7 linked regions of the Oryctolagus cuniculus genome follow. The protein of the gene in region 2 interacts with the protein of the main gene of each other region in a pairwise test. Links are inferred from orthologs where the notes say so. Each region holds a gene or a part of one and is shown on either strand. Other genes may lie near its edges.

Region 1 (4,250 bases), on a different chromosome or scaffold from region 2:
TCCAAAAAAAAAAAAAAAACACACAAAAAAAACCTGCAAGGGGGCGGGTGTTTGGTCTAGTGGGTAAGACATCATCAGGGTGCCTGCACCCTGCACGGGAGTGCCTGCTTTCACTGCTGGCTCTCGCTCCTGACTCCAGCTCCCTGCTAACATGGGTTCTCAGCATCAGCAATGATGGCTCAAGTAACTGTGTCCTTGCCGCCCACGTGGGAGCCCTGCAGTGAGTCCCCAGCTCCCGGCTTTGGCTACTGCAGGCATTCGGGGCGTGAGCCAGGAGATGGGGGCGCCCTCCCTGTCTCTCTCCATCTCAGACACAGATTCTAATCAGGAAGAAGAAAACAGGCTCGAATGACATTTGCCAGCTCATAGTCAACACTGACGCTGGGCGACACTGCTTTAGGTGCTGAGGATACAGAAGTAAAACACAGCCGCTAGCTCTAGAGAACTTAGCTACTGAAGCTCCTTCTGCCACCGGCGACGTCAGTCTTCAAAGAACCACAGCCTTCTCCTAAGAGGGCCAAGGAAAGGTGCGTTCTCCGTCCCTTATTGCCAGTGGTCCCCAAGATGCAGCTCAACTTCTAACACTGCTGCTCTTGGCGTCTTCTCAGAAACCGTGTGACGGTTCACCTGATCCACCCTGGCAGCGCTGTGGCAGCATTAACATTTGCATTTGCATACAGGAACCCATTTGCATACAGGATTCCATGAAATTTAGAGGACACAGGTACTAAAGCGTAAGCAAACACGGGCTGGCATCAAAAATAGTATCAGCATTCTGCTTTCACGAAAGTCACGAAAACCAAGCAGAATTCAATCACGAGAAGCCGTGCTGAGTGTACAGGGCCTGCTAGAAGGAGCTCAAGCCGTACATGTGGGACACACGTATCCACATGTGCAGATACCACACACGAGGAGCCGGGAATGGGTGCCCGGCCGTTAGCCCAGCACCTAAGCAGGCCGAGTCAGCCGTCAGACTTCAGAGACTCGTAGCCTTCTTTCAGGAGGTGCCGCCACGTTTTCAGGAAGCGCGCGTTCTCTGTACACTTGCAGGCCAGCTCTTCCACCTGCGCCGACACTGCCGACGTGGCTTCCAGAAGCTTGCTTAATGAAAACGCTGCCTGAGATGAGAAGAAAAAGCAGTTATTTTTAAAGCTGTCATTTTATACACAGTCGGAAAATGGCTTTCACATGAATCTGGTACCCAGGCTACTACACACTTCCACGGGCTGGCGCTCTGGTGGAGTGAGCTAAGCGGCAGCTGGTGATGCTGGCCTCCATGCAGAGGGCCGGTGAGAGCAGGTGTGTCGCTTCTGACCCAGCTTCCCGCCAGGGCACCGGGAAGGCACTGGGAGCCGCCCAGGTACCTGGGGCCCAGCACGCGCACGAGAGACCCGCACGAGTGCGCGGCTCCTGGCTCCGGCCTGGCCACTGCGGCCATCCGAGCAGGGAACCAGGGGACGGACAATGCCTGCCTCTCCCTCTCTCTCTGGCTCTGCCTTTCAAGTAAATAAATAAATGTTTTCAACATAAAAGTAGTAAGTTTTCAAACGAAAACATCGGCTGTTTGTAGAGAGCCTCAAGAATTACTGACTTGCAGGTCAGCTTTGAGGGCATCTGGCCCCACCGTCTGTGCGCCATGACCAAGGCGGTATTTTTATTTTCCCTGAAAACACCGTGGAGTCCCTGAACTCCGGAAAGCGATGGAGACGCCTCCTCTCCACCTGCCCTAAGTATCTGAAGGACTTCACCCTCGACGCCTGATGGTGCAGCCTCAAAGGCACCGTGCCACCACCCTGCTGTCAATCCTGACCCTGCAGGACAAGAAAAGCAGACGTCAGAGAGGAGCCACCACCGAAACCACACGCGCATTCAGAGAACACCCAGCCCTGACGTTAGCCTCAGTTTCCAAAGGTTTTCTGCACCTAGGATAAAACCCCGCACAGGGGCGCCTGGTCCACACTGGACACACGGTGCGCATCATCCATCCCGAGGACGGGGTGCTAGGGTGGGGCGTGCGTGCTGGCCCGCGGCAAGGCCAGGTTTCCCAGCAGACACCCAGGACAGCAGTCCAGCGCCGAGCAAGCCTCGCGCCGACCGCAGCATCGACAGCCGGCCCTGGGCAGGTGGCCATCGGGAGCCGCAGTGCAGGGCTCCGGCGGGACGGGCGGCGCGGGCCGCAGCGAGGTCCGGGGAGCCCGAGGCCGGGCGGAAGGAGCCCCCGCAGCCCGCCGCCGGCCCCGGGCAGGTGGCCATCGGGAGCCGCAGTGCGGGGCTCCGGCGGGACGGGCGGGACGGGCCGCAGCGAGGTCCGGGGAGCCCGAGGCCGGGCGGAAGGAGCCCCCGCAGCCCGCCGCCGGGCCCGGGCAGGTGGCCATCGGGAGCCGCAGTGCGGGGCGCGCGCGGCCGGGGTCGCGCCCCCGGCTCTCGCTGCGGGCCCCGCGACACTCACGTCTCCGATCTGCAGCTCCACCAGCTCCAGCCGATCCACCGCGCGGCCGCCGCTGGCGCTCGCAGAGGCTGAGGAGGCGTCCGAGGACGACGGAGAAGAGGGCGGAGGCGGGGGCGGCGAGGCAGCCCGCAGCTCCGCGGGCGCAGCCATGGGCAGGGGCCGCGGCAGCCGAACCGACGCCAACCGCCTTTCAACCGCTCGCGCCCAACACCCAAAGGCGCCGCCTTCTCCTTCCCGAAGGCCCGCCTTGTGAGTCAACCCAGGGCCACCAAGACGGAGACGGTTCGCTTCTGCGGGACAGCCAATCAAACGTCCGTCAATGCCCTTTGGGCGGCTTAGTGCAGCTGCGCGGAGCTCCCACAGGGCGCGGAGTGCTTGGGAGCAGAAGACTACAACTCCCAGGATGCCGTGCGCCTCGCGCCCCCTCCCACTGCCCCGCAGTGCGCGTGCGTTACGCTCCGGGCTGTGCGGGCCCCGCCCACCACGGCTGGACAAGCCGGAAGCGCAGGCCGAGTTTTCAGCCTGAAAGCGCGGGGCGCTCTGGGACTTGGAGTCCTCGCGCTTTTCCTGGTCTGCTGCTTGACCCGGAAGCCTGTGCTGGCCCGCGCGTCACGTGTGGCGCCGGCGCAGAGCGAGAGAGGGGTAGGTCCCCGCGCAGCGAGGGCGGTCGGCTGAGCCCAGAGGCGAACTTCAGCGGAGGCGCAGGTTCCTCCGGCCGGGAATGACGCCCCCCGCGGCCTAGGGTCCCGCCCCCGCGGCCAGCCGCCGGCCCTCGTCCGCCCGCTGTGTCCGGCCGCGAGTGTCACCGTTCCTTCGAACATGCTGGCGCCGCTCGCCAGGCGCTCCTGCCCGGGTGAGAGGGAGCTCGCGTGGGGATGGGTGGAGGGAAGTGGGAGAGCGCGGGCGAGGCGGGCCGGGCCGCCCGGGGGCTGGGAGCGCGCGCCCGCGGCCCGCGGCGGCGCGGGGTGCACCTGCTGGTGGGCCCGGCGCGCGGTGCCCCTGCTGGTGGGCCCGGCGCGCTCCCCTCAGGCTGCCCCAGTTGGAAGGACTCCTCTCTGGGTTAAAGGTCGGGGACGGAGGACACTTGTCAACACGTTGCCCTCGGCGGGCTCCCGGGCCGGGGGTGGCACTGGAACCAGTGGGCGCCTTTCCCCTTGGGGCGCCCCTGGGTGTTAGCCGTCCCCGCCTCCGGCGGGGTCTCTGCCAGGATTCCGATTCGTGTCCCGCCCGAGTCACCAGCTCTGCCTGGAGCTGGGAATGGCTCTGCGTGGCCTAAGTCAGTTCGGGGGTGTTCCTTGCTGCCGTTAGATACGACCCGTAAAATAAAAAATAAATAATAATAATAAATAAAATAAAAAACTTTAGCTTGAACAGAAGTTTTTACTTAAGAGAGCTTTGAATTCTGTTGTAATCGGCTCGGCTTGATTTGCTGAATGGCAGGTTTTGGTTATGGAATGCTTAAACACCTGCACACATTGCTAATGCAAGGGCGTGCTTGTAAATGTCAGGAGTAGAATTTTCTAAAGTTGGCTTCCGAGTATTAGGTTAGAACTCGGTCGAAGCTTCTGTTCCTCTTGTTACTACACCAGGGCCCGCTTTTACGTTTGTTGGAATATCCCGGTAGTCAGGCGCTGTCTGCTCCGGATCCTAATTTACCGCCGTCTTGGGCCAGCGCTAACCAAATCCGTTGAAAATGACTGTTTTCTCTGGATGCTGATTCCTGGCTTTCTTCGCGAACTACTGGCACCAGAGAGGTGCGCACGGATGTGCTGCTGGTGTGACTGATAGGGTGATGTTCTGA
Region 2 (4,117 bases):
GCTCTCTGACAACAGTGTGTGCATTAAAGCGAAAGGTTTTCTCCTTCTGCCTGCTCACAGCTTTGCGTGTTTCAAACAAGCCATGAATAAGAGCGTCTACGGAGGTTAGCATTTTTCAGTATTTTAATTTAAAAAGAACACCCCAGAAATCTTTAGGAAATGGCTTTTGTTCTTAAAGAAAAAACATTTTTTGTCTTAAGACTTTGAGAACAGGCTCTTTAAATTGTTTTAAACAGCTCTCTCCCAATAAGCCTTGCTCACTAAGTTAACAGTGAGGATGTTAAAAACTGAACAGATGTCTGTAGGTGATGCAATTCCTTGAGACCTGCTTAATCTATCTGTTTAACGGGACAGACCTGCTGCCCAGGTTTACTTAGCAACAAATATCTGCTAGGGCCTGCAATGAGCCAGGCTCCACGGTGGGCACAGGCCCTGAGGGAGCATCTCCAAGTTTCTCTAGTGAACACGAACCCTCAGAGTAGGGACCCGCTGACCCTATCATGGGGACAGGCACCCTGGGCTGGGACCTAGACCGATACTGGGCGGAGAGTACATCATGAATTTCTGATACGTGAACAAGCTGTATAATCTGTTAGAAGTTTAGGAATTCTTTTTAAAATTTAGCAAAATTGGAGGGGGAAAGATCAGCTTTTATTCATTCACACTATAGCCTTCTTTCTTTTATAGGCCACATTCCATTCACAAGTTAGGATTGTTGGAATTTCACATTGTCTACTCCTACCCCGCCCCCATAGCTGGTTATGACATAGAGGGTTATGTCAAAGTCCACTGTAATAACAGATGCAAAAGCTCTGTGAAAAGTATGGAACAAATTCCAAATGCAATGTGGCAGGAGAGTTTCGGAGGTTCTCTAAGATTTGTTAAACTTGAAAGAGCTGATACCTTTTGATCAAAGGTTAAAGAGACTTCCACATGTAACCCCCAACAGGTTGCACTGGCCTCTCAGGGCAATGAAATACAGCTGGTTGTTTCTGACACCCTGCCACGGGGGAAGGTGCAGTGTGGACCAAGGCACTTGATAAGAGAGCAATGAAAACAGCAATTTCATGAGCGCTTCAGTTCAGCTCAACGCATATTAAAACCCAGCTTCTATGATGGGCCGGATATTATGCTAGATGCTGGAGATACCAAAACAAAAACATCTATGTCCTTAAATATTCATGCTTCTTAAACTCCAGACCAAAAAAAAAAAAAAAGAAAAAAAAAAAGATGCAGCTCTGATTTTACAAACTGCTTAAATTACTATAGGGAAATGTTGCAATGGCTTGGTGGTTGCCTCATCAGTGCTAGAGAAAGTATCAAAGTAGGCCATCAATTCTTATGGGAAAAACCAAAAAACAAGTCTGTTCAAGTGTTATGACAAACTTGTCTTTCCAACACAGAGAAGATGATGGCAAATACATACTACAATTGCTGAACAACTAGAACTATGTAAGCATAAGGGTGGCTTAAATGGTTGCATATTAATTTAAGAAATTACCTTCCCGAAGAAAAGGTGCTTGTTTTTCCTTTTCTGAGTTATTCTAGTCTACATTTTCTGCCAAGTTCAATGGTGAGTATGCTCAAGCATCATGACCATTTAATATTCAACTAGACGGTTATGCAAATTTTCACAGCAAATTTAAAGCTGAAAGAAATTTACACAGAATAGCAGAAATGGAAGATGCCTGGGAAAAATTCCGGATTGGTGTTAAGGCTGTCTGCTCCGAAGTTTGAAGCGGAATCCTGGTTTCCCGGGCAGCATGCGCTTCTACCAGGGCTGATGTCAGATACTAACGGGCTCGTGAATTAAATGAGCATCTGTATTGAGGGCACAGAAACAGTGTCCCCAGCTGCAAGTGTCTGCTATTAATATGCTGGCAAGGAAGCCACGGGGCCTGGGTAGTGACACTACTCCTCGTTCCGAGCGTGCGGGTCCAAAAACACTGGCGCCCCGACTTCACCTTCGGGCAAGCCTCCTACCTGTTCTAGCCTTGGTTTTCCCAATCCGGAAAATGGGACAGCGACGACGTTCCTCTCTCCAAGGGGAATGCAGCGGAGCAAACAAGAGCTGGTATTCGCCAAGGGCTCGCCGCAGCCTGCAGCCGTTCCCGCTCCGGCCGGCCCAGAAAGGCGCTGCGAGCACTTGCAGAGGGGGCTGGCCGCGGGGTCGGTGGGCTTCTCGGCCCGGCCGCTTGCAGCGGGGCTCGCCGGCTCAGCCCTCCGTGCCTCGGGGGGACGCGGGGAGCACCGACTGACTTCATGCAAACAATGAGTGCCGGGCGCGCAGTCCGCACAGCACGCGCGTCAGCGAGGCTTAGAGCAAGGCCGTGGGCCCGGCGCCGAGGCTCCCCGCGGGCGCGACGGGCGGGCCCCGCCGCCAGGTGAGCCCGCGTCCTACCCAGCACCTGCCGGGCCGGCCGCGAGCAAAAACAACTTAAAAAAAAAAAAAAAAAAAAAAAAAAAAGGTTCGCGCCAAGCCGCCCCGCCGACGCCCACGCCCTCGCCCTCACCTTGCTGGAGGTCCTGGTGGTCGTACCACGGCTCGTCCTCCTTCATCTCAAACTCCTCCACCAGGTTCTCCGCCAGCATCTCCGCGGGGTCTTCCGGGGGCAGCGGCCCCCGCCGCCGCCGTCCCGCCTCAGCCGCTGCCCCGGGCTCTGCCCCGGCTCCTCCGCCCTCAGCCAGAGCCGCCCTCGGGTGGGACGCGCCGCCGCCTCAGTACAGCCGCCGGCCGGCCAGCCGGCCTCCGCCGCCCGCACCGCAAGCCGTTGACTCGCCTCGTGCCGCCCAAAGACCACCCCCACCCCCAGCACGCGCCCGGGCGCCGGCGCCCCCCGGCTGGCGCGCCCGGCCGGCTCCTCACACCGCAACCCGGCCCAACGTGGCACTTTGGCAGAACCCTCCCCGACCGGGGACGCGATTCAAAACCCCGGCGGCGCGTCGGCCAATGGCGAGCGGGCCGCCGGATGAGTGGCAGTGACTTCGTCCAATCGTGTCTCTCTACAGGCTCGCGGCTCGGCCTGTCCCGAGGGCAGGCAGCCAATGGCGGCTGCAGAAGGAACAAAGGAGGCGGGGAAGAAGTGAAGGGGTGCGGCCGAAAGCCCCGCCCCTCGCCTGTGTTGTGTAGCTCCTGAGGGTGCGTTCGGGAGGAGGCGGCAGATACCTCGCCTGCACCTGTGGTGCGTGTCCGATCGGCCCGTTAGGGGCGGACTGGTTGCGCGGGTCCGAGGGGCGAGGACTCGGGCTTCCGAGCAGTGGGCGGTTGTCGAGGGGGCGTCCTTCGTGCCGGCGGGAGGCTTTGCGAACGGTGCCGCGAGCCCCAGGGCCATTGCTCAGCCCGCCTTTGTCGAAGACTGAGAGTCGGTCGGGAGCTGGGAGCTGAGAACAACGCCTTCTGAGTTGTTCGCCGTTCTTTTCTTGACATCCGAGCCTTCGCTTCCGAGCGGCTGGGAATTGTACTCCCTCCAGAACGGTCGGCGCCAGAATCGCCTGGGCACCCGGGGCGGGGGCGGTTGCCGCTGAAGCTGTCTCCGTAGCGGGGGAAATTGCGGAGCAGCTTCGCGTGCTCCGTTATAAAGGTTCATAGACCACGCGTTGAGTCTGCGGGCGGCGTGCGAGGCCTGCCCCTGGCCCCAGTGCCCGCTGCTTGCCGCAGACCTAACACCATCCGTGCTGCTCGTGGGTTCAAGGTTTTTGCATCCCCCGTGCAGGTAAAACACGGAGTCTGTTACACAGTGGGACAGCCGTCAAGGGAGGGGGCGGCCGAAAGAGGTCGGAGATGTTAGAGGTTGAAGAGCTGTCTCTAGGACGTGAGATCGTAACGACCAGGAGTTCGGAGGAAGGGAGAAGTAGGGGACTGGTGCTACATCCTCATCCGTCGCAGCGATACCTTGATAGGGAATGCCTGAAGTTGGGGATTCAACGGATCATTGCCACAGGTCCCAAGAGAGCTCAGAGCTGAAATGGGAGGCAGTGCGGGGTGAGTTGGGATTTGTTGACTTTGATTTGTGTTATCAGCCCCTCTGTGATCTTACTGTTTTCCCCTGGTGCACACACTACTATGATGAAAAATAAGGGGAATTGTAAGGAAGGAGTTCTACATCCCCAGACTATT
Region 3 (3,673 bases), on a different chromosome or scaffold from region 2:
AAGAACCAAAGCTGGGCTGGTGCTGTGGTGCAGTGGGTTAAAGCCCTGGTCTGCAGCGCTAGTACACTATCTGGGCACCAGTTCGAGTCCTGGGTGCTCTACTTCCCATTCAGCTCTCTGCTATGGCCTTGGAAAGCAGTAAAAGATAGCCCAAGTCCTTGGGCCCCTGCACCTGTGTGGGAGACCCAGAAGAAACTCCTGGCTCCTGGCTTTGGATCAGTGCAGCTCTGGCTGTTGCAGCCATCTGGGGAATGAACCAGCAGATGGAAGACCCCCCTCTCTCTCTTTCTCTGCCTCTGCCTCTCTATAACTCTGTCTTTCAAATAAATAAATTAATCTTAAAAAAAAAAAAAAGCTCCATAGCTGAACATGAGGTACTACCATGGTCAGTGGTAAATCTGTGAACAGGTGCCACAGAACTGGGGACGGGGCGGGGAGAAGGACCAAAGAACATCAAGTAATCCCCTCACCTCCTGCACAAGTGGCTGCTGGAACAATGGAATGAGAGGATTCGTCCTTGGAATGTCAATGTGAATCTGAAAAAGAGAAGCCACGTCCAAAAACACAAATGCCAGTCTATTCTTTTGACAAAGTTATTTTCTTATGAAATGAGAACAAAGAGACTAAGAGTTACACTGTAATTTTATCTTCAGCAAGAACTGACAGACCCAGAAAAAAGTCCGCTTCAGTAAACTTAGCTGTCCACGTGGAGTGTGCTTTCATGAGGGCAACAGCTTGTCAAACACTGAGGAAACCTCCTAATGTCAACCATGTAAGCCAAACAGCAACAGGTTTCAGGACCCAAGAGTACCACTTGCTTTGTCCTTGGCTCTGGAGTCAGTTTTGCTCTGGGCCGGCACTTAGTTAATAAGTGTAGTCAAAGTATCTACCCCCCTGTCAGAATCTTACCCATCAATACTTCCTAAGAACTAAAAGGTCTCTGACAGCCATAAAAATGAGCCAGAAGAGGGCCGGCGCCGTGGCTCAATAGGCTAATCCTCCACCTTGCGGCGCCGGCACACCGGGTTCTAGTCCCGGTCGGGGCGCCGGATTCTGTCCCGGTTGCCCCTCTTCCAGGCCAGCTCTCTGCTATGGCCAGGGAGTGCAGTGGAGGATGGCCCAGGTGCTTGGGCCCTGCACCCCATGGGAGACCAGGAAAAACACCTGGATCCTGGCTCCTGCCATCGGATCAGCGCGGTGCGCCGGCTGCAGCGGCGGCCATTGGAGGGTGAACCAACGGCAAAGGAAGACCTTTCTCTCTCTGTCTCTCTCTCTCACTGTCCACTCTGCTTGTCAAAAAAAAAAAAAAAAAAAAAAAAAAGAGCCAGGAGAGGGAATCGAGGAGGAGCTGCTAATGAAGTCAAGGTCTTCTGTTAGCAAAGAGGTCATTCTGCTGGGTTCAGCTGTGGGGATTTCCCAACGCCAGTCTGAAAGAGGCTCCTTAAGTTCTTGGGGCTGTTGTGGATAGCCGCCTACCCCCACCTTCTACAACCACCTGCTGCTCTCCTGCTCCCTCCATGTGAGTGCAGCAGACATTCCTGCATAGGCAGTGAGGGGAGACTCCCACAGGCAGACACAGACAGAAATGGGAGCTGAACAGGCCCAGCGGCTGCCAGAGGGCACACTGACATCACAGCCCAGAGGGACTGGACCACTCCAGGGCGAACTTACCCTTCTTCTCACACTCCGTAACTGCTACTACTCACAGAGTGGCCTGGACTGGCAGCGTCAGCGCTGCTCAGGAGCTTGTTAAGAGCAGGCCTCGCCCCAGACTCCTGAATCAGAACCTGCATTGTTTCCACAACCCCCAGGTGGCATTTTCATGAAGACCCTGGGTACTGCACGCACATTAAAATTTGAGCACTCTCAGGCCACTAATTAGTGACCAAAAAAAGTCTATTTACAATAGCTAGACTGGGATGTTATGAATGAAAAGGAGGTGCAGAAAAGAGGGGAATAAACTGAATTCCTGAGCAGCATGCCACAGCCTGAAGACCTAGAAATCTGTACCCTGCTGGCATTCCCAGGAGACACACCTGCAGTGTGACTAATAGGCAAAGAGGCTGCAGGTGACGACCCTACCTGTCTGTAGGTATCCTGATGGTGTTCCTCATTCCGAGAGTCATAATACTGCTCGATGAAGCCAAAATACTCCTCACGCTTCCGCTGCAGAGTCAGTTTCCTCCTCTCCGTGTTTGCTGGGAGATAGCCCTGGGGACAAGACTGCCCGTCAGAGGGGAGCAGATACTGGCTGGGTGAATCCTTGGTTTTTTATTTTAGCCTGAGCAGAGGCGTGGAAGCTATCAAAGGAACAGAAGGAGAACGGCCAGCGGACAGGATAAATCCCTCGTTTTGGCCACCCAGTGCTTCCCTCTCTCTCAATGAGATCCACATGTGGGCGGATGAAAGCGGGCCAGCTTTCCCAGGGTTATTTACTCCTCTGGCGCAGTGCTGCACTTGGAGCGCACACTGCTGCTGAGCCTCCATGGCTCCCGGAGTTGGCACAGCGAGCGCTGAAATGTAGGTCAGCAGGAGGGGACTGGACCCCAGTCACGGCCTGTGAGGCCTGCGTCTGTTCAGGGCCATACTGTGAGAAGCACAGGGATCTGGCGACCTCCAGGCTGCTTCTCAGTGGTGTGCCAGTTACACATTCTTTCTGTGTCACAGTCAGAACCACCAACTTAGGAAGCTGCAGGGCATCTGGGAAGTGGCAGCTTCAAGCCCAGACAGAACTTTTGGCAGCAGCCACTCCTGGCCACCGCTCCAGGCCAGCTTTCATTCTTATCCCTGCCCTAGATGCCACTCGCATTCTTACAACTCCTGTTCTGCTTCTGTTCTTACCAAATCTACTCTGCATCATTCAAGCTTACTAGAAGTGGCAGGAGCAATGTCAGTAAGGTTACAAGGCTGGGGGTGGGGAGCACGGTTAGGAGAGACCCCTCCTCTGCAGACAATTATGCCAAGCATTTCTCAGGGAGTGCCTGGGAGCAGGGTCCGTGGTTCATGCATTTTTGTACTTGTTCACAGCACCTGGGGCCGTGCCTGGCAAACAGCAGGCCCTCGGTAAGTCCTTACTGGATGGATGAATGAATTTCATAGGCTCAGAAAATCTAAGTGTCCTATCGCAGGGGCTGGCACAGTGCCCCGCCCTCAGTGAAAACAGGACTTACAGCAAGGCTTCTAAGGAAGGTCCGCTGATCAATGCTTCCAAATGATAAAGTGGGGTTCAACCACTTTGGCTATTGCGACTGATAGAGCAGTGAGGCGCAGGGAATGTGAGGGCTTGCTCAAAGTAAGCACTGGGATCACCCTGTCGTACTTCCTCGCTGCTGCGGAGAACGTGAGATGGTGACTTCAGGAGCAAGTTGTGCTCTTCTACATGTGTGGAATAAGAACATATTCCTGCTGTACGCATGTGGAAATAAACGCTAAAGGATGTGTTTCAGGGCTGGCGCTGTGGCATAGCAGGTAAATCCGCCGCCTGCACTGCGGGCATCCCATGTGGGCGCCAGTTCAAGTCCTGGCTGCTCCTCTTCCGATCCAGTTCTCTGCTGTGCCCTGGGAAAGCAGCAGAAGATGCCAAGTGTTTGAGCCCCTGCACCCACATGGGAGACCTGGAGGAGGCTCCTGGATCCTGGCTTCAGATAGGCTCAGCTATGGCCGTTGTGGCCAT
Region 4 (4,330 bases), on a different chromosome or scaffold from region 2:
CTCCTTAAGGCGGCCCTCCCCATCTTTATTTACATTTTGCTGGTTCAATGCCTGCCTGCACCGCTGTAGCAGCTTCTCCATGGGGGTGGGATCAACTCAATCCTGCTTATCACCGCGGCCTCAGTGCTGTCCACAGAGCCAGCGCAGCACGTGTCCCACAGATGCTTACCAAAACCTCTTGGAATTCCTTCGGGGGGGGGGGGGCACCACTGGTGGGAGAAAAGCTTGTCTGCCTCCCAGCAGATAAAAGGTATCCCACCTGCAAATTCAGGGCTACTGTTTCAATGCAAAGTGGGGCCTTCCCAGAGAAGCAGGATCCGAAAAGGTCTCCTGGCCTCCGTGAGAAATCTATAGCCCTGTGTACGAGGCATCCAAACAGGGAACCTTATAATGAAGAGACCTTCAATGTGTGTTCCCATGATTCTTTAAAAAAGTTCCTCTTTCAATTAGGGTGACAAGTGCTGGGGGCGGGGGAAGGGCGGCGAGACAGGGACTAGGACACAAGTCCAATGTCATCTAACCCAGATTCTTAACAGACACGAACTCTGCTGTCAAAAAACCGTCTCTGCCACTTCCCCACTGCCTGTGCCCAGTGGGGGGCCTTTCCCCAGGGGCTGCTGACCAGGCTCCAGGCTGCTCAGCCTGCGGAGGCCCGAAGACACCAGCACAGAGATGCCAATCACTGGCACACAGGCCAAACCCGGCTCATGCATGGGTTTTGTTTGGTTTCTACTACTGAAATCTACAGATTTCACCAGACTCTTGATTTCTGGCTTTTCTTAACAGAAAATAAAATTCCAGCTGCACCCAGTCTGAGGTTCAACACGCTCTCAACTGACGAGCTGGCAGCAGGCACAGTGCAGAGCACTCAAGGAACAAGGCTGCAGTCCACCCTGGGCAGAAAGCAGGCCCTCCCTCGGTCCTGGCTTACACAGACGTTTGCGTTTGCAACTTTGGCCTAGCCCAATCCTCTCCTTGTAGAGAACTGGAAACTATTGCCCAGGGCGGGGAAAGGACATGCCCAAGGTCACACAGCAGGGACGAAGCGGTGTGGGCAGGTACAGAGCCCATCCAAACCTCTCCGCTTTGTCCATGAGGATCAGGCTCCATTTCACTTGCTCCCAACCTGAACGACTCCGGCCTGTGGCTGGAATACCCTGCGCTTTGAATCAACCAGGGAGACTCCCTGCTGCACAGCCCAAGGAATGTCAGGTGCAAAGCCCTCCCCACAGCCCCCCGCAGCTGCCCTCTGCTCACCCAGACCCTTGGCCTTCTTCTTTTCCTGTGGCCTCCGGTGGTCTCGGTCTCCGACCTCATCGCTCGTCCGGATCTCTTCCGTGCCCGGCTCTGCCTTGGAGGTCTCCTTCTCGCCATTGACTACTGGGGTGCCCGGCTCCGGCTCCCCATTCCTTGCCACATAGGCGCGAGACTTCTCTGCATCTTCAGGTTCAGGGGGCTCACCCTGGACCCCATCCTCACCCGGGGCCCCCTGGTTGTTGTCCACACAGTATGTACTGAGTATGTCTTCCAACTGGCGGCTCAGCTCCTCAGAGACATCACAGAGCGCCCCAGGCTGAGCAGTTTTGGCTTGAGCCCCTAGGGCAGGAGAGGACGAGAGGCAGCGACAGACGGCAAGGTTAGACCACCACCTGGGATCGTGAGCCCAGCCAGCCTCACTGGTTCAGGTTTAAGGTTGCCCCAGCTTACTTAATTCTCGCAACCTCCCCAATACAGTTTGTTCAAGCATAAAATAAGTACGTACGGCACCTGGGACTGCCATGTCGCAGGAGGCAGGCAACTCAATGTTTCGTCCATTCCCCTCCCTCTAAAAGCCCCCGCTTGCTATGCAAGCAGCTCCAGAAATGCCTCGACAACGAACCAAGGGCAGTGACCCACACTGGTGACCGAGGTCCTTCGGATGGAACCCGGCGTCACTGGCTGAGGCCTCAGGTGCCGGCCACCTGCGAGAAGCCTGCAAGGGCCTCCCCTCCCCAGAGCCTGGGATGCTCCACATCCCCGCTGCCTCCTCCCTGGGCCGGGCCGCGAACTCCTCCCCCAGGCGGCTGGAAACGCAGAGCTGGCACACACCCTCCGGCCTCCCGGGAGCCTGGCTGCTGGCACCTTCGGCTTCTCGGGCGGGGGCCGGCCGGCCGGGCCGCCCCTGGGCTCCCTCCGCTCCTGCTTCCGGCTGTCCCGGGCTGCTTTTGGGGTTGGGCTGTTTGGCAGCCCCGTTCTTTTTGTCTTGATTCTTCATTGTGCGCTGCCACCTTAGGTTGGGATTGGATCCTTGAGAAACACAGTTGCTATTTTCCACAGAATTCTTCGCAGCCTGGATCAGAAATCACAGCCCAGGCGCACCTTCAACGGAGGGAGCCAACGGTTCTCCCGCTGTCCGGCCGGTCAGGGGGCCTGGCGCACCCCGGCGGGTTTCCGGGGCGCTGCTCCTGGAGCGGGTGAGGAGAGAGGCCTCCTTGTTCCCCCCGAAGCCACTTCCCGGCCCCACACGGCCCCTCACGGCAGGCCCGGCGCGGGATTGGCTCCCGGCCGCAGACTGACGTGGCGGGACGCTCGACTCCGACCCCTCCCCCCGCGCCCCAGGTCCCACGTGGGCTCCCGCGCCCGCGCGCACGCAGCCACCCACGCCCCGCGCGCCCTCCAGTCGCGCGCATGCGCACAGCGTCACCCCGACTCCCCCCACCCCCGCCGCCGCCCACGCGCAGAAATCGGAGCAATTTCCCCGCTGGCCGAAAGTGTCCAGGTCTGCAGGCCCTCACCGTCCGTCGTCCCGCCGCTGGGCTCACCTCACGGGCGACGTGCGACCGCGTCCCCAGCGCTGGCCTCGCACCGGAAACCCTGGGTAACCGCTGCCGGCAGAGCCGCCTGTCCGAGCCACAGCCAATTAGTAGCCGGCGCTGGCGCGGAGCTTGCCGGGAGCCGGGAGCGAAGGCGGCCTCCAAGGCGGGTGCATCGGGAGGGCGGGGACAGGAGCGGACTACACGTCCCACCATGCATCGGTCGACACAACTCCCAGGATGCTCTCGTCCTCAGAGCCGCGGACTCCGGAGGGCTGGGGAGCCGGTGGTTCTGAGCAAACCTCCACGTCAACCTCGCCGGTGTCGTGCAGAAGCCCTGTGCGGCCCAGCCTCACTGCGCCCGCGTGCCTCGGTCCACACTCCGTCAGTCCGGGGACTCCGGAGAGGCCTGGGCTGGGAGGCAGGCCTGTGTTCCAGGTCCGACTTCATCCCTAGGTGCCACGCGACTGGACGTTCTTTTCTCTCCCTGCCTCGATTTCCTTATTCTGACGCAGGCTTTCAGTGACCGTAGCGGTTCTCTGAGCACACCCCGTGTGCTTCCCTGGTCTCTTAAAAGCCCTGGCCTCCTAGCTGCTGGAGATAAGTACTATTTGTCATTCCCATTTAACGGAAGAGGGCTGTAAGGCTCGCGTTAGACAGCTCGCCCACGGTCACAGATGCTGGGTTCGAGCAGTGGTTCAGAACCTGACTACTCCGCTACCCTGCCTTTTACTCAGAAGAAATAATCACCATTGCAGGCGTTCTCCAAGAGCCCGGGTAACTTGTGAAAGGTAGTTACCCCCCCCCCCCCCCAATAAGCTCGGCAGTCCCGCAGGAAGGGGCAGAGGGGTCCCTGCAGGGGTGTTTGACCTCAGGCCCATTCCTGAAACTTCTTCGTCCCATTTTGTACAAAGTCCTTGTGGTACTAGGGCTAAAACTGAAAAGGCCAGATTTTTCTCCAAAGGTGGGATCACAATTTTTTAAAAAGATTTATTTATTTATTTGAAAGGCAGAGTTACACAGAGAGGAGAGGCAGAGAGAGAGAGAGGTCTTCCATCCGCTGGGTCACTCCCCAATTGGCCGCAACCGCCAGAGCTGCGCCGATCCGAAGCCAGGAGCCAGGTGCTAGGAGCTTCTTCCAGGTCTCCCACTGGGTGCGGGGGCCAAGGACTTGGGCCATCCTCCAGTGCCTTCCCAGGCCATAGCAGAGAGCTGGATTGGAAATGGAGCAGCTAGGAGGTCTTGAACTGGCGCCCATGTGGGATGGCGGCACTGCAGGCACCAGCCCCGAGGTCACAATTCTTTATCACCGCTGCTTATAGACGTTGGAATAAAACCCAGTACTCTTTGCACCTGGAATCTGAAGAGCCTACGTGGTTTGGCTTTTGCCTCTTCCATCCAATCTTGGGTTTTTTGCTCCAACTCTACTTTTATGATTCACAGGGTTTCTCAGGTTTTTGCAGATGCTTGCTATTTTTCTTCCAAAGTGCACTTATGGCAAAAATAAACAACAAACTTGAGAGCCATCTCAAAGAGCA
Region 5 (3,673 bases), on a different chromosome or scaffold from region 2:
TGGACAACACGGTGGTCGGTCGGACGTCCTGGAAGCCGTGCGGCCCCAGCGCCTGGGACCAGAGCTTCACGCTGGAGCTGGAGCGGGTGCGCCCCTGCTGGGGGCTGGCAGGGCCCAGAGGGAGGGCTGGGGCGGGGGGGGGGCGCGGCCTGGACCCGGGGGCACCCCCAGCTCTGTCCCTTGTCCTTTGCCCCAGGCTCGCGAGCTGGAGCTGGCTGTGTTCTGGAGGGACCAGCGGGGCCTGTGTGCCCTGAAGTTCCTGAAGTTGGAGGACTTCCTGGACAACGAGAGACACGAGGTGCAGCTGGACATGGAGCCCCAGGGCTGCCTGCTGGCCGAGGTACAGCCCAACCCCTGAAAGCGCTTCCTGCTTGCCCACGGGGGCCCCCCCCGGGGGGGGGTGACCTGTGATTCTGATGCAAAGTATATTTAAATTAAAAAAAATAGAAACAGTTTCATTGAGACAGAAGAGAAGAACAAACCCTGGGCAGGCGGCAAGGTGTGGTTGAGGTTGTGACCCTTGACGCTGGGGCTTGGGTCATTCTTTGCAGTGGGGCCATGCTGTGCACCGTGGGGGTGTTTATCCGAGTCTCTGGTCCGGATGCCAGTAGCACCCCCACCTCCTGTCCCCACTGTGACAGTCCTGTGTTTTGGTCTTTTAAATTTATTTATTTGAAGGCAGAGTTACAGAGAGAGAGAGAGAGAGAGAGAGAGAGGTCTTCCATCCTCTGGTTCACTCCCCAGATGGCTGCAATGGCTGGAGCTGCACTGATGCAAAGCTGGGAGCCAGGAGCTCCATCCGGGTCTCCCCAGCAGGTGCAGGGGCCCAAGCATTTGTGCCATCTCCCGCTGCTTTCCCAGGCGCCTGAGCAGGGGCCTGGGTCGGAAGCCGGGCAGCTTCCTTGTGGGATGCCGGCCTCCCGGGTCTCGGCTTAGCCGGCTACACCACAGCACCAGCCCCTGCAACCTGACCTTAACCCAGCACGGAGAACTGGTCCACCTCCTGCCCGCAGGCTGCCCGGCTGTGTAAGGCAAACCCAGAGCCCACACACGCATATACCACCTGCCCAGATGGAGATCCGAGCTCCCAAAAAGTCCTGTTAGGTTTTTTTTTTTTTTGTACTGAGTGCGCATTGCTTTTGCGCCACTGTGTAGCCCTTTCCTCCGCCCCCTAAAGAAATTATGAAGTCAGATCTTTGTAAGCGTGGGACCACGTGTATACGTGCACACCCCTCCCTGTGCACAAATCCCTCCCCATCAGTTATCTAAGCCCCATGGAGAGGGAGAAGGGCTGGGGGCGGGGGTTGGGGAGGGGGTTTCTGTCAGGACTTCCAGACAGTTCCATGGCATGCGTTTCTAGAAAAGTCTAGGACATACGTTTCCAGAAAATTCTGTGACGTGCATTTCCAGTGGGTTCCACCATATGCATGCCCAGAAAAATGCCGTAGCATGCATTTCTGGAAAGTTCCATCACTTGTGTGTCCAGAGGGGTCACAGATGATACCGCTGGTTGTAGACCAGGCTTAGGGCAGTCAGGGCTGTGTGTGACGGGGGGACCCCGGCAATGTATTTGAAAGGCAGAGTGACAGAGACAGAGAGCTCTTCCACCTGCTGGTTCATTCCCCAAATGGCCACATAGCCCAGGCTGGGCCAGGCCAAAGCCAAGAGCCAGGAGCTCCATCCGGGTCTCCCGCGTGGGTACAGGGGCCCCAGCCCTTGGGCCATCTTCCGCTGCTTTCCCAGGCACATTAGCAGGGAGCCGGCTGGGAAACGGAGCAGCCGGGACTCGAACCTTAGGTGTGGGCAAGGGATGCAGGCGTCAGAGGCTGTGGATTAACCCCTGCGCCACCATCCCGCGATCTTGATCTAGAAAGTCCGAGATGGGCTTGGGTTTGTGGCCGGAGCTCATTCCCAGACCCGGGGACCAGCCATCCTTTCCTGGGGCAGCGCCCCCTCCGGCCGCAGCTGCACTGGGGCCTGAGCCTCCAACACAGGGAGGGGTGGGCATCCATCCGCCCTGCAAAGGGGCTTCCCCGCCGCGCGGGGGGAGGGACAGGGGCGGGGTCTTCAGCTTCCGGCCCCTCCCCCAGGTCACCTTCCGCAACCCGGTCATTGAGCGGATCCCTCGGCTCCGAAGGCAGAAGAAGATCTTCTCCAAGCAGCAAGGTGAGCAGCCGGGCTGGGGCTGGGCGGGGCGGGGCTGGGGAGGGGGCCCGGGAGTGACACCTGCCCCGCCCCGCCCCAGGAAAGGCGTTCCAGCGCGCCAGGCAGCTGAACATAGACGTGGCTACGTGGGTGCGGCTCCTGCGCAGGCTCATCCCCAACGCAGCCTCGGCCACCGGCACCTTCAGCCCCGGGGCTCCCCCAGGATCCGAGGCTCGGCCTGCAGGGTAAGGGCAGGGAGGGCGGCCCCGGGGCTCCCGCCGCCCCCTTGTATCCCGGGGCGCTGAGCTCTCCCTGTGACACCTGCGCAGGGACGTGTCCCTGGAGAAGCTGAACCTGAGCGCCGATGTGGACGGCTCCCCCCAGAAGAGCCCGCCGGGGCCTCCTTCCAGCCCGAGTGGCCTGGTGAGCCGCCCTTGCCCCGGCCCCGTCCCTAGCACCTGGGCCATCAGCGGCCGCTTCCCCACGGCATCAGCAGGGAGCGGCCGGGCTTCGAACCGGCAGGTGCATTGGGGCTGCAGGCGTCACAGGTGGTGGCTGAGCGCCCCCCCCCCCCCCCGCCTGGGTCATTGGTCAAAGTAGGCGAGTTTCTTTGGCTCTGGGGAATCCAGGAGCCTCCTGAGGGCTGTGTTGTCACATGGCCAGGGCTTCCCAGCTGTGGCCTCATGGTCAGGACACCTGCGTCCCACATCGGAGGGCCTGGGTTCAAGTCCTGGCTCCGGCTCCGGACTCCAGCACCCTGCACATGCGCACCCTGGGAGGCAGCAGGGGGCCCCACAGTGGGAGACCCGGATGGAGCTCCCAGCTCCCGCTGTTGTGGGCATTTGGGGAGAAATATATGTGGCGTGTGAAATGTTCCCGAGAGGAAGGCAGAGAAGGGGGTGGGCCGTGCTGAGGGGTCCTGTCATTCCCTGTGGTGCTCAGCCGACCCCTGCACAGGTGACTACAGGAGGGGGGGGCAGCCGTGCAAAGGGCCTGGGGCAGGAAAGTGCCTGGTGTGTTCAGAGTGTGGGACAGGGTGGGGGAGCACTGTGGCTGGAGGGGCGTGAGCAAGGAGGTGAGGGAGAGGACAGAGAGGGAAGTGGCCCCTCTGTGTAGGGGGGCAGCCCACCTGCCTTCAGCCGGACCTCTCTCCACAGAGTCCCCCCAGCCAGGAAACCTCGAGCACTCCCGAGCTGCCTCTGGAGACCCAGGAGACCCCAGGCCCCGCCCTGTGCAGGTGCCAGCCCCGCCCCTGCACCCGGGACACGCCCCAGCCCGCTGCCCCGCCCCCAGCACCCGCGCCCTCTCTCCGCAGCCCCCTGAGGAAGGCGCCCCTGAGCCTCGAGGACTTCAAGTTCCTGGCGGTGCTGGGCCGGGGTCACTTTGGAAAGGTGAGGCAGGCCGTGGGCAGCGGGGCCCCCAGCGCGTCCAGGTCCCACCCCCACCCCCACCCCCGGGTCCCCCGGGTCAGCCACCCGGTACCGCTGTGGTTACAGGTGCTGCTGTCCGAATTCCGGTCCAGCGGGGA
Region 6 (4,383 bases), on a different chromosome or scaffold from region 2:
CTTCACTAGTATTGAACTCTGAAAGTGAAGCCAGTGGAGGGCTTCCATCACTCCACCTCCCTTGGTTTTTCCCCCACTACATACTCCTGTGTCTTAAACGCTGTCCTCCACTTTGTCCTAATGGAGAATGTGTTGGCCATCTATATGCAGAAGACTAAAAGAAGCCACAAGAGAACCAACACATCGGGGGCCGGTGCTATGCCTGAAATGCCGGCATCCCATATGGGCGCCGGTTCTAGTCCCAGCTGCTCCTCTTCCGATCCAGCTCTCTGCTATGGTCTGGAAAAGCAGTACAAGATAGCCCAGGTCCTTGGGCCCCTGCACCCATGTGGGAGACCCGGAAAAAGCTCCTGGCTCCTGGCTCCTGGCTTCGGATAGGTGCAGCTCCGGCCGTTGCAGTCATCTGGGGAGTGAACCAGCAGATGGAAGACCTCTCTCTCTCTCTGCCTCTCCTCTCTCTGTGTAACTCTGACCTTCAAATAAATAAATAAATCTTAAAAAAAAAAAAAAAAGAGAGAGAGAGAGAACCAACACATCAATGAGAGCTTCTTCATTTAAAGGACATCTGTCCACTCTGCCCAAATAAGGTTTATCCTGTGAGATGAAACTTGGCCCAAGTGCCACCTGTTGAGAAACAAAGTAAAATCTCACGCAAAAGAGTAGGAGAAGCAGGAGGACTCTCCAAAGAGCTGCACACCCAAGCCAGTAGCTCTTAGAATGTTCTAATACTCCATATGAAGTTTCAGAGTAAACAGTTAATGACACATCTTTTGTAACACATGAATCAGCTACTGATTTGCAAGAGCAGGACACACCCTAGCACCCATGACTTTAAAGCACCTATTTGAAAGTGGACCTGAAGGTGGAACCCATCCCACTAGGACTAGAGCAGAATTTTACAACTACATAAGTTGTCACAATTTGAAGTTAAAAAGATGAACACATCATTATAATGGGAGATAATCCGAGACCTTCATTAATACTTTAACACCAGTAATTACAAACAGTAGCAACGCAAGGTAAGGAGTAACCAATCACTCCTGCAAAGCAATCTTCAAAGGGAGCAGTGACAGGTAAAGGGACTGAAGAACAGCAACTTCAAAAACCAGGATATTCTCCACTCTTCACAACACTAACGAAATGAGGCTGATGAGAGAAACACACATCTTACCTTAAGAGGCACCCGAATCGCATTCATAGTGTCAGAAGAGTTCAGACAAGATTCAGAAATGAGCAAACAGGGAGTCAGTGATCCCCTCAGTCACCAGGTAGGAGCAGGCAGAAAAACTTCCTGTTTTGAGAAGTTACCTAAAGGAGAGAGCTCTCAGTTAGACTAAAAAATAATACGGAATATGCAAGTAGTTTAAGCTACTTTTATATATATATATATATATATATATACACACACACATATATTTTTTTTGTTTGTTTCATTCATCCCAAAACACAGTACTCTTTGGAAAAGGGCAGATACTTGCATGTAAACATACTTTACCTGAAAAGACAAAGGTATGACATTTTAGAAAATATATAATTGCTTCTCAAAGAATCAGAAAACCAAAATCCAAGAAAGGGGAAAAAAATTTTAAGAGTACTTCATACACATTATGGAAAGGTGATTTGTTAACCACCTAAAAAAGGATCCTTACCATATTTAATTTTATATAGTAAATTAAAACTCCTCTTGATGATTCTGACCTAAAATTCTGAGCTTAAATTAAGTTTCAGAGCTGATTCTACATAATAAATAAAATCTATTGACCAAAGTACTACAAACAAATAAGGCACTTCTTCCCAGGAGATCTTTAAAGGAAACCCTTACAACTTCATTCTAGGATGAGAGGTGGCAAATCTGCCTGGAGACAGGAGGATGGACTAAATGACCTCTTGTAGGATCCTACAGTTCAAGTCCTAGGCCTGAATGAAATTCCAGCTTAACCAGTTACTGCTTCGCTTAAAATGGAGGCTTGCCCGAGTAGGGACAAAAATAACAGCACTCACCTCTTAAAAAAAAAAAATAAGGAAAAATCAAAGACTAAAGTATCCTCATTTCAAAAATAAAAACAAAAAGGCAAACCCTCCGGAGCGGGTCTGTTCCGGCTATGCCTCTGCACTTCGGCTTCGAGGACTTGGCATCACTCTCCGCCCCGCTCACCGGATCTGGGGGTGCCGGTGGGGGCGGGGTGCGAGGAGTTCGACTCTGGACCCAAGTCTCGGGCGGGGTCCGGACCCCTCTGCGAACCCCCCTCCCGGGCGGCGGGAGAGGAGAAAGGGGAGAGCCCGAGTTCTCACCCCTCCCCCACCGCGGACCCCAGTCCCGAACCTACCCTCCGCACCTTCCCGCAGCCGGGCGACCCCTCCGGCCTGACCCCCATTGTTGGGGAGGGGCGGATGGGCGAGGGGGCTCCGGGCAGGGGCGCCCGCGGCCGTGGCCCCGGCTCGCTCCGGGAGGGGGCGGCCCGCGGGATGCAGCTTCCCTTCCTCTCCGCGTCGGTCCGTCCCACCTCGGCTCGGCCTGGCGCCCTGGGCTCCCTCGCTGCCCCCGGCCCGGCCCACCCCCCGGGCCGCCAGGCCCTCCGGCAGCTCGGCCAGCAGCCCGCGGTCCAGGCCTACCGGTGGGCGCGGGGTGGGGGTCCCTGTGCCCCACACACGAGTCCCCGCTCCCCCAGCCCAGCCGATTCCAGGGCCCTCGGCGGAGCCCGTTCCGCGGGCCCCTCGACCCTTCGCCTCCCGGCCGGGCCGCCCCCTCAAAGCCCCCGGGTCGTAGCCGCCTTCCCTCCCCCACCATCACCCCTACCCACTCGTGCCCCCCACCCCCCGGGGCACCAGTGCCAACGGCAGCTCCCCCAGCCCCGGACCTACCTGCACGGCTCAACCAAGCCTAGAGTGGGGGCGGGGAATCTTCCGCCCTCCTCTGTCTCTCATTGGGCCTTCCGGGGCTCCTCGTGGGCGCCATTGGTCGAGAGAGGGTGTCCATCAGAGCGATGGGGCGGGACAGAGAGGGGAGAGGGATGCTGGTGCTTCGGCGTCTCTGTCTCTGTGTTATCTCGCTGTCTCTGTCTCTGTCAGGGCCCTTGGAAACGAGAGGCTTTTGGACAGGAGCTCTGGAAAGGGGCCCTGAGGTGGGAGGACTGGGAATCGGGAATCCCAGCGGTGCTTCTCACCAGTAGGCCACTCTGAACCCCCTGAGTCCCCTTGAGGTTCTCCTCTCCATCACCCCCAGCCCCTGCCCCTCACCCCTCTGGGTTCTTCATCCAGGAAGCGACGTGATGAAAACTCGAGGCCGGAAGGCCATAGGGAGAGATTTTATATATGAATCTCGAATTCGCACATATAAATGTTTATATGTAAAGCCAGTCACGTATACGGCTCCAAGGGCCTGGAGAGGGACACATCTTTTACAAACAGGGGAGGACTTCAGATAAAACCGATGGAAGAAGGGATCAAAAATCACTCCAGGCTGGCCACGGTGGTTACTTCCCGGAGGGCAGCTCCAGTGAGCAGGTGGGAGAAAGGCTTCCAGCTCACTGTATGGCCTTTGTATCCTTTGCTACTTTTAAAATCATTCATGAACATCCTAATTCTGAAAAAAAAATTTTTAATTGATTTAAATTTTTAGATAATCTGAGGTTGAGGTTGCAAAACCTGGAAATGGGGACAGCGTACAGATTTGGGGAGGAACCTTGGGTTTCAATATGTTCCATTCCAAATACCAGGGGTTAAGTGAGTGAAGGTGTCCCAGAGACAACTAAAGTTACAAACTTTGAGAGAGCATGGGCAATCTGGCTTAGAAAAGATTTAGAGCTCTCTGCTCACCACATGATAATGCCCAGAGTCTCCCCCACACATGTAAAAAGACACCACAGTTAAAGTCAGGAGGGTGAGAACGAAGGTGAAATAAGAGAAACAAAATATTGATGACACATGAAAGTTAAGGGAAGAAGCGTTTCTGGGAAAACAGAAATAATTGGGGCTGGTGCTGTGGTGCAGCAGGTTAAAGCCCTGGCCTGAAGTCCCCTGTGGTCACTGGTTCAAGTCCTGGCTGCTCCACTTCCAATCCAGCTCTCTGCCATGGCCTGAGAAAGCAGCAGAGGATGGCCCAAGTCCTTCGCATCTGGAGAGTAAACCAACAGATGGAATACCTCTCCCCACCACCCCCGTGTCTCTACCTCTCTTTTTTTTAAAAGTCTATAAAAATAAATTAATTAAAAAATAAAAATAATAAAACTTTAAGAGCCTCGTAGGTTTTGAGAATCAATACAGGGACACTCCTTAGGCTAAAAAAAATCCATAAATTAGTATTCTTAACTTTTTCTTGCCACAGACAATTTTATCAGTCTGGTGACACATACAGATACCTTCTCATCATGATCCTGTTTGTTT
Region 7 (3,997 bases), on a different chromosome or scaffold from region 2:
GGCTGCCCAGCTCTGCCTGCTTAGGCAGCGAACTGAGCCCCAGGGCTGCTACTGTAATTTATAAGGTGAATTTTATTAAATTTGTAACTCTTGCCTGCTCTCCTCGTGGGGAGGGGCACTGTCTGGCCCCCAGGCTCTCCCAGGACTGCCAGCCCTGGTGCTGCAGGCTGTCTGACCAGCAGGGCACAGCAGCAAAGGGCTAAGTCAGGTCCACCCCGCCATGGCTGCGCACCAGGTGAGGGGGTGCCCACGGCCAGCGCCGTCGCCCCATCCGCTGAGGGCGGCTCTGTACTGCCCTTCCCCGCTGCACAAGTTCCCAGGGCTGGGACTCAGCACAGGCTGGTGCAGGGGGAGTGGGGGAGAGCGGAGCCCCAGCCGCACCCTGCAGTTTCCCACCTATTGCGTGGAGGAGACACCCGTGGGATGGCTGCAGCAGCCAGGGGCGGGGCTGGCCCCTGTGAACCCTGGGCAGAGGGGGTGAGCAGGCCACACCCCCTGCGGCTGGACCGAGGGCTGGCCAGCCCAGCTCTTTCAGACCACACTCGTGTAAAAAAAGGCTTTTATTTTAAGAAGTAAAAATGGCTACGCTTCCAAAAGTTCTTAAATAGGACTTCAGAGGGGGAGAGGTGGGAACGCTGGAGTGCCTGCTGCCAGGCGCCGGGGGGAGCAGCTGAGGCCCCGCGCCCCGGGAATGCTATGTACACGTGGCTGGAGCCCCTCGGTGCCTTCTGGGAGACCCCGCGGGCCTGGGGGCAGCTGGCCAGCCCACCCTTGCAGCTCACGCCGTCCGCGCCACTGGTGAGCCCGAGCCGCTGCTTCTTGCTCTGCGAGGGGCCGGGACGTCCCTGTCTCCTGCGAGCCGGCGAGCACGGCCGGCTGTCCATCCATCACACAGGCAAGGGCCTCGACTTCCCTGCGGGAGGGGAGGCGGGGAGGTCAGCTGCGGGCCAGCAGCGGGCAGGGGTGCCCACAGCGGTGCTGCGAGAGCAGGAGGGAGCCCGCAGAAGCACACAGACAGCAGGCAGCGGGGACAGAGCCAGCCCCGCCACCCAGGCAGGCGGGTGTGCAGCGCTGGGCCGCTGGCCCCACACTCACCTGGAGACTCTGCAGCCCAGCCTTCAGGCTGAAATCAAAGCGACAGGCGTCTCACTGGGGGCGTGCCTCAGGCCAGGCCCCCACGGGGTCCTGCCAACCCTAGCCCTTTGCCGGCCCTCCAGTGGGTACTGGCACCTGTGCCGGGGCTCGCCTCTCCAGGACACAGGTGGGCTCCGCCCTCTCTGTGCCCAGGGTAGGGGTCCCTGGCCTGCTCCCTGAGCCCGGCCAGCCCCAGTTAGGCAGCAGGAGGGCTGGGCTGCTCCTCACACCGGCCCCTCCCTCCTTTTGTAAAGTGGACCCAGCGCTGTGTGCCCGACGCTGCAGGGCAGGGGACAGGGTGACAGAGGTTCAGAGACTAGAAAAGCCCACCCAGGTAGGGCACCTGGGGGCTGTGATGATGGAGGGGGTAGGGTTGGGGGCTTACCCGAGGGCTGCAGCTTCCTTCGGATGGAGCCCGCACGGCTCGTGGTCCCTGAGCCGGGGGCTGAGTGGGCACGTGCTGAGGGCTGCGGTGCCTGGCAAGCTGGCTCCCACTGTGAATGGAGGAGGACAATGGCTGGGCCTCCCTCCCCAAACCTCAGTTTCCTCATCTGTGAATGGGCGTATTAACTCTTATGCTCCCTGAGACGGGCTCTCGTTAAGTGAGACGCTGGTACTCCGTGTGCCAGGCCTGCAGGCCTCCCTGACCATGACAGATCTGGACTAAAGAGCTGCGGCATCTGGGTTCGTTCTAGCTCCACCCCCTTCACCCATAGGCCCAGTCGGTCCCCTAAGCCCCTTCCTGCTGCTCACGCCCCTCCTGCCCCGGGCCAGCCCGAGATGGGCCTGGGGTGGTTCCCTTACCTCCAGATGCTCCTGGCTGGACCAGGACCCCAGCTCTGTGCGCCGAGCCCCAGGGCCCAGCTCCACAGAGCGTACCCGCTCGGCAAACTTGAGCGAGTAGAGCGTCTCGCTGGTGTTTTTCTCCACAGGGGACACCTGGGGAACAGAGTGGTCAGCCCACCCAGGCCAGCCAGCCACCCCCGTAGCACCAGAGGGACAGTGATTCCGAGGAGGGGAGGGAGGAGGGTGTGCGAGGCACACACATCACTGACTCAGGAGCGTGGTGCTCGGGGGGGGGGGGGGGGGGCCCCGGAACGCGTCTTGGTGCCAGCCCATGACGAGCGCCCACCTGCACCACCATGAGGGTCTTGCTGTCGCCGCTGAGCGAGTCCTGCAGCAGGTAGGTGAGCTTGGAGTTGCGGAAGGGCACGTGGCCCTGGCGCGAGCGCAGGGCGGCAATGACGTCCCCCAGCGCCGACAGCGACTTGTTGATGTGCTGCGCCTCCCGCAGGCGGCTGCCCTCGGCTCCCGACTTGCCCACGCGCTCTGAGCCAGCCAGGTCCACCAGGTTCAGCTTCCCTGCAGGGAGGGTGCCAGCCAGGTCAGGGCTGCCTGCCGCGGGGGGGCCTCCGCCCAGGCTGCCCAGGGTCCAGCGCTCACCCGTGGTGCGCAGGCCCGTGCTGCAGTCCGTGCCCCGCACCGTCACGATGAGCAGGGCGTGCGAGCGGGAGCTGTGCTCATTCAGGTTGGTGAACTCCGTCGTGCGGTTGGTGTGGCCGAACTCAAACACCTGGGGCGCAGGGTTCAGAACAGGTCTTCGGAATCGCCCTGGCCCCAACGCCCCTCGCAGACATCTCCCAGCTGAGGGACATCGGTCCCTCAATGCCCACAACAGCCAGGGCAGGGCCAGGCCAAAGCCAGGAGCCTGGAACTCAACGCAGGTCTCCCAGGGGCGAACTAAGGACCCAAGTACTTGAGCCATCGCCTGCTGCTCTCAGGAGCCACATTACCAGGGAAGTGGAGGGGAAGCAGAGCAATCGGGCCTGGAAACTGCTATGGCACGTGGACATCACTGCCGCAGACGCCCGCCCTTCCACACCGGAGAGGAGCAAACAGGCTCAGAGCAGACAGGGGCAGGCCCGAGTCACACAGGGCAGGGCAGAAGCTGCCGTGGAACCTGGCTTCGTCCTGGTCCACAGCAGCTCTGCGTGGGCCCAGGGTCTCCCCAGCATTTCCCCCAGAGCCCCCCAGCCACACACCTTGTTGATGTCGTCCACACTCTGCACCCGGAACTCGGTCAGTCCTGGCACATACAGCTGCCCACTGCCATCTGGGCACAGCCGGATCTCCAGCTTCTCCTGAGGCTCCTTCCCCAGCAGGTCCCTGGAGGGGCGGGGCCGGGGGAGGGCGGTTACTCCTTCCTCCCAGGTGAGGCCTCTCCTAGCTCCCCACCTAGATCCCTGCTCCTCCAGCTGCTCCCTTGCACTCTGCTGTTCCCCAAGAGTCCTGTAGATGGCGCCATTCCTGCCTCCACAGTGAGCAGCTCTGTGGGCAGAGCCTCAGCTGCTGTCTGCTGTGCACCACTGCCCCTGCAGCCCACAAGGAGAGCCCCCCTCCACAGTCCCTCTCGTCCAGTCCCCAGCGGTGCCCACAGCCGCCTGTGGGGCTGGCGCCTGCACCTGAGGACCTCGTTGTAGATCTCGGCGGCGCTGACGGTGATGTTGTACTCCCAGTCGGACGCCTTCTCCTGCACCTCGGAGAAGAGCAGCTGCAGTGCCCGCTGGTTGATGCCAGGGTTCTCGGGGGTTCCCTAAAGAAGGAAAGGGCCCCGTGAGCCAGGCCTCTCGGGGGGGGGGGGCTGTGCCATGCTCACGTGGCATCTGCTGCCCCTAAGCCCCTCGGCCACCACTCCAGGGGAGCCTCCCTACCCAGAGCACCTCCCTGCCTGCTGGTCATGTCCCCCAAACGCCCCCTCCACTGGCGGCAGCAACTGCTGCCTAGGCCCCAGTTTAAAGTGGCCTGGGGTCTCGGGGCCTCTGCTCCCGAGGCAAAACACACGCTGTGCAGAACCCCGGTGTCC

Evidence for each region.
Region 1: the proteins of CDR2 (region 2) and C8H4orf46 interact in binary tests that used the Homo sapiens proteins (3 or more experiments, as listed by UniProt). The two-hybrid records come from large-scale screens. The link is inferred for Oryctolagus cuniculus from reciprocal best matches to the Homo sapiens genes CDR2 and C4orf46.
Region 3: the proteins of CDR2 (region 2) and TBC1D22B interact in binary tests that used the Homo sapiens proteins (3 or more experiments, as listed by UniProt). The link is inferred for Oryctolagus cuniculus from reciprocal best matches to the Homo sapiens genes CDR2 and TBC1D22B.
Region 4: the proteins of CDR2 (region 2) and TXLNA interact in binary tests that used the Homo sapiens proteins (3 or more experiments, as listed by UniProt). The two-hybrid records come from large-scale screens. The link is inferred for Oryctolagus cuniculus from reciprocal best matches to the Homo sapiens genes CDR2 and TXLNA.
Region 5: the proteins of CDR2 (region 2) and PKN1 interact in binary tests that used the Homo sapiens proteins (3 or more experiments, as listed by UniProt). The link is inferred for Oryctolagus cuniculus from reciprocal best matches to the Homo sapiens genes CDR2 and PKN1.
Region 6: the proteins of CDR2 (region 2) and KANSL1 interact in binary tests that used the Homo sapiens proteins (3 or more experiments, as listed by UniProt). The two-hybrid records come from large-scale screens. The link is inferred for Oryctolagus cuniculus from reciprocal best matches to the Homo sapiens genes CDR2 and KANSL1.
Region 7: the proteins of CDR2 (region 2) and KIFC3 interact in binary tests that used the Homo sapiens proteins (3 or more experiments, as listed by UniProt). The two-hybrid records come from large-scale screens. The link is inferred for Oryctolagus cuniculus from reciprocal best matches to the Homo sapiens genes CDR2 and KIFC3.

Annotation. Positions count from the first base shown.
Region 1 is NC_091439.1:138,686,683-138,690,932, reverse strand, and holds the start of C8H4orf46 (renal cancer differentiation gene 1 protein), read right to left. Parts: upstream 2,845-4,250; 5' UTR 2,600-2,844; coding exon 2,450-2,599; intron 1,119-2,449; coding exon 963-1,118; 3' UTR 1-962. Other genes in the region: ETFDH (electron transfer flavoprotein-ubiquinone oxidoreductase, mitochondrial), read left to right, coding at 3,269-3,302.
Region 2 is NC_091450.1:16,872,647-16,876,763, reverse strand, and holds the start of CDR2 (cerebellar degeneration-related protein 2), read right to left. Parts: upstream 2,862-4,117; 5' UTR 2,593-2,861; coding exon 2,514-2,592; intron 2,125-2,513; exon of another isoform or gene 1,984-2,124; intron 1-1,983.
Region 3 is NC_091436.1:132,355,305-132,358,977, forward strand, and holds part of TBC1D22B (TBC1 domain family member 22B), read right to left. Parts: intron 2,212-3,673; coding exon 2,083-2,211; intron 537-2,082; coding exon 471-536; intron 1-470. UniProt on the Homo sapiens protein: May act as a GTPase-activating protein for Rab family protein(s).
Region 4 is NC_091438.1:140,273,028-140,277,357, forward strand, and holds the start of TXLNA (alpha-taxilin), read right to left. Parts: upstream 2,970-4,330; 5' UTR 2,802-2,969; exon of another isoform or gene 2,775-2,801; intron 2,660-2,774; exon of another isoform or gene 2,445-2,659; 5' UTR 2,255-2,444; coding exon 2,089-2,254; intron 1,597-2,088; coding exon 1,258-1,596; intron 1-1,257. UniProt on the Homo sapiens protein: May be involved in intracellular vesicle traffic and potentially in calcium-dependent exocytosis in neuroendocrine cells.
Region 5 is NC_091447.1:63,106,820-63,110,492, forward strand, and holds part of PKN1 (serine/threonine-protein kinase N1), read left to right. Parts: coding exon 1-86; intron 87-196; coding exon 197-340; intron 341-2,090; coding exon 2,091-2,166; intron 2,167-2,245; coding exon 2,246-2,390; intron 2,391-2,474; coding exon 2,475-2,667; intron 2,668-3,302; coding exon 3,303-3,382; intron 3,383-3,460; coding exon 3,461-3,536; intron 3,537-3,641; coding exon 3,642-3,673. UniProt on the Homo sapiens protein: PKC-related serine/threonine-protein kinase involved in various processes such as regulation of the intermediate filaments of the actin cytoskeleton, cell migration, tumor cell invasion and transcription regulation.
Region 6 is NC_091448.1:17,041,890-17,046,272, reverse strand, and holds the start of KANSL1 (KAT8 regulatory NSL complex subunit 1), read right to left. Parts: upstream 2,959-4,383; 5' UTR 2,863-2,958; intron 1,309-2,862; 5' UTR 1,172-1,308; intron 1-1,171. UniProt on the Homo sapiens protein: Non-catalytic component of the NSL histone acetyltransferase complex, a multiprotein complex that mediates histone H4 acetylation at 'Lys-5'- and 'Lys-8' (H4K5ac and H4K8ac) at transcription start sites and promotes transcription initiation.
Region 7 is NC_091449.1:41,227,142-41,231,138, forward strand, and holds the end of KIFC3 (kinesin-like protein KIFC3), read right to left. Parts: intron 3,728-3,997; coding exon 3,597-3,727; intron 3,301-3,596; coding exon 3,177-3,300; intron 2,708-3,176; coding exon 2,578-2,707; intron 2,497-2,577; coding exon 2,267-2,496; intron 2,074-2,266; coding exon 1,939-2,073; intron 1,629-1,938; coding exon 1,520-1,628; intron 1,124-1,519; coding exon of another isoform or gene 1,119-1,123; exon of another isoform or gene 1,096-1,118; intron 914-1,095; coding exon 888-913; 3' UTR 543-887; downstream 1-542. UniProt on the Homo sapiens protein: Minus-end microtubule-dependent motor protein. Involved in apically targeted transport. Required for zonula adherens maintenance.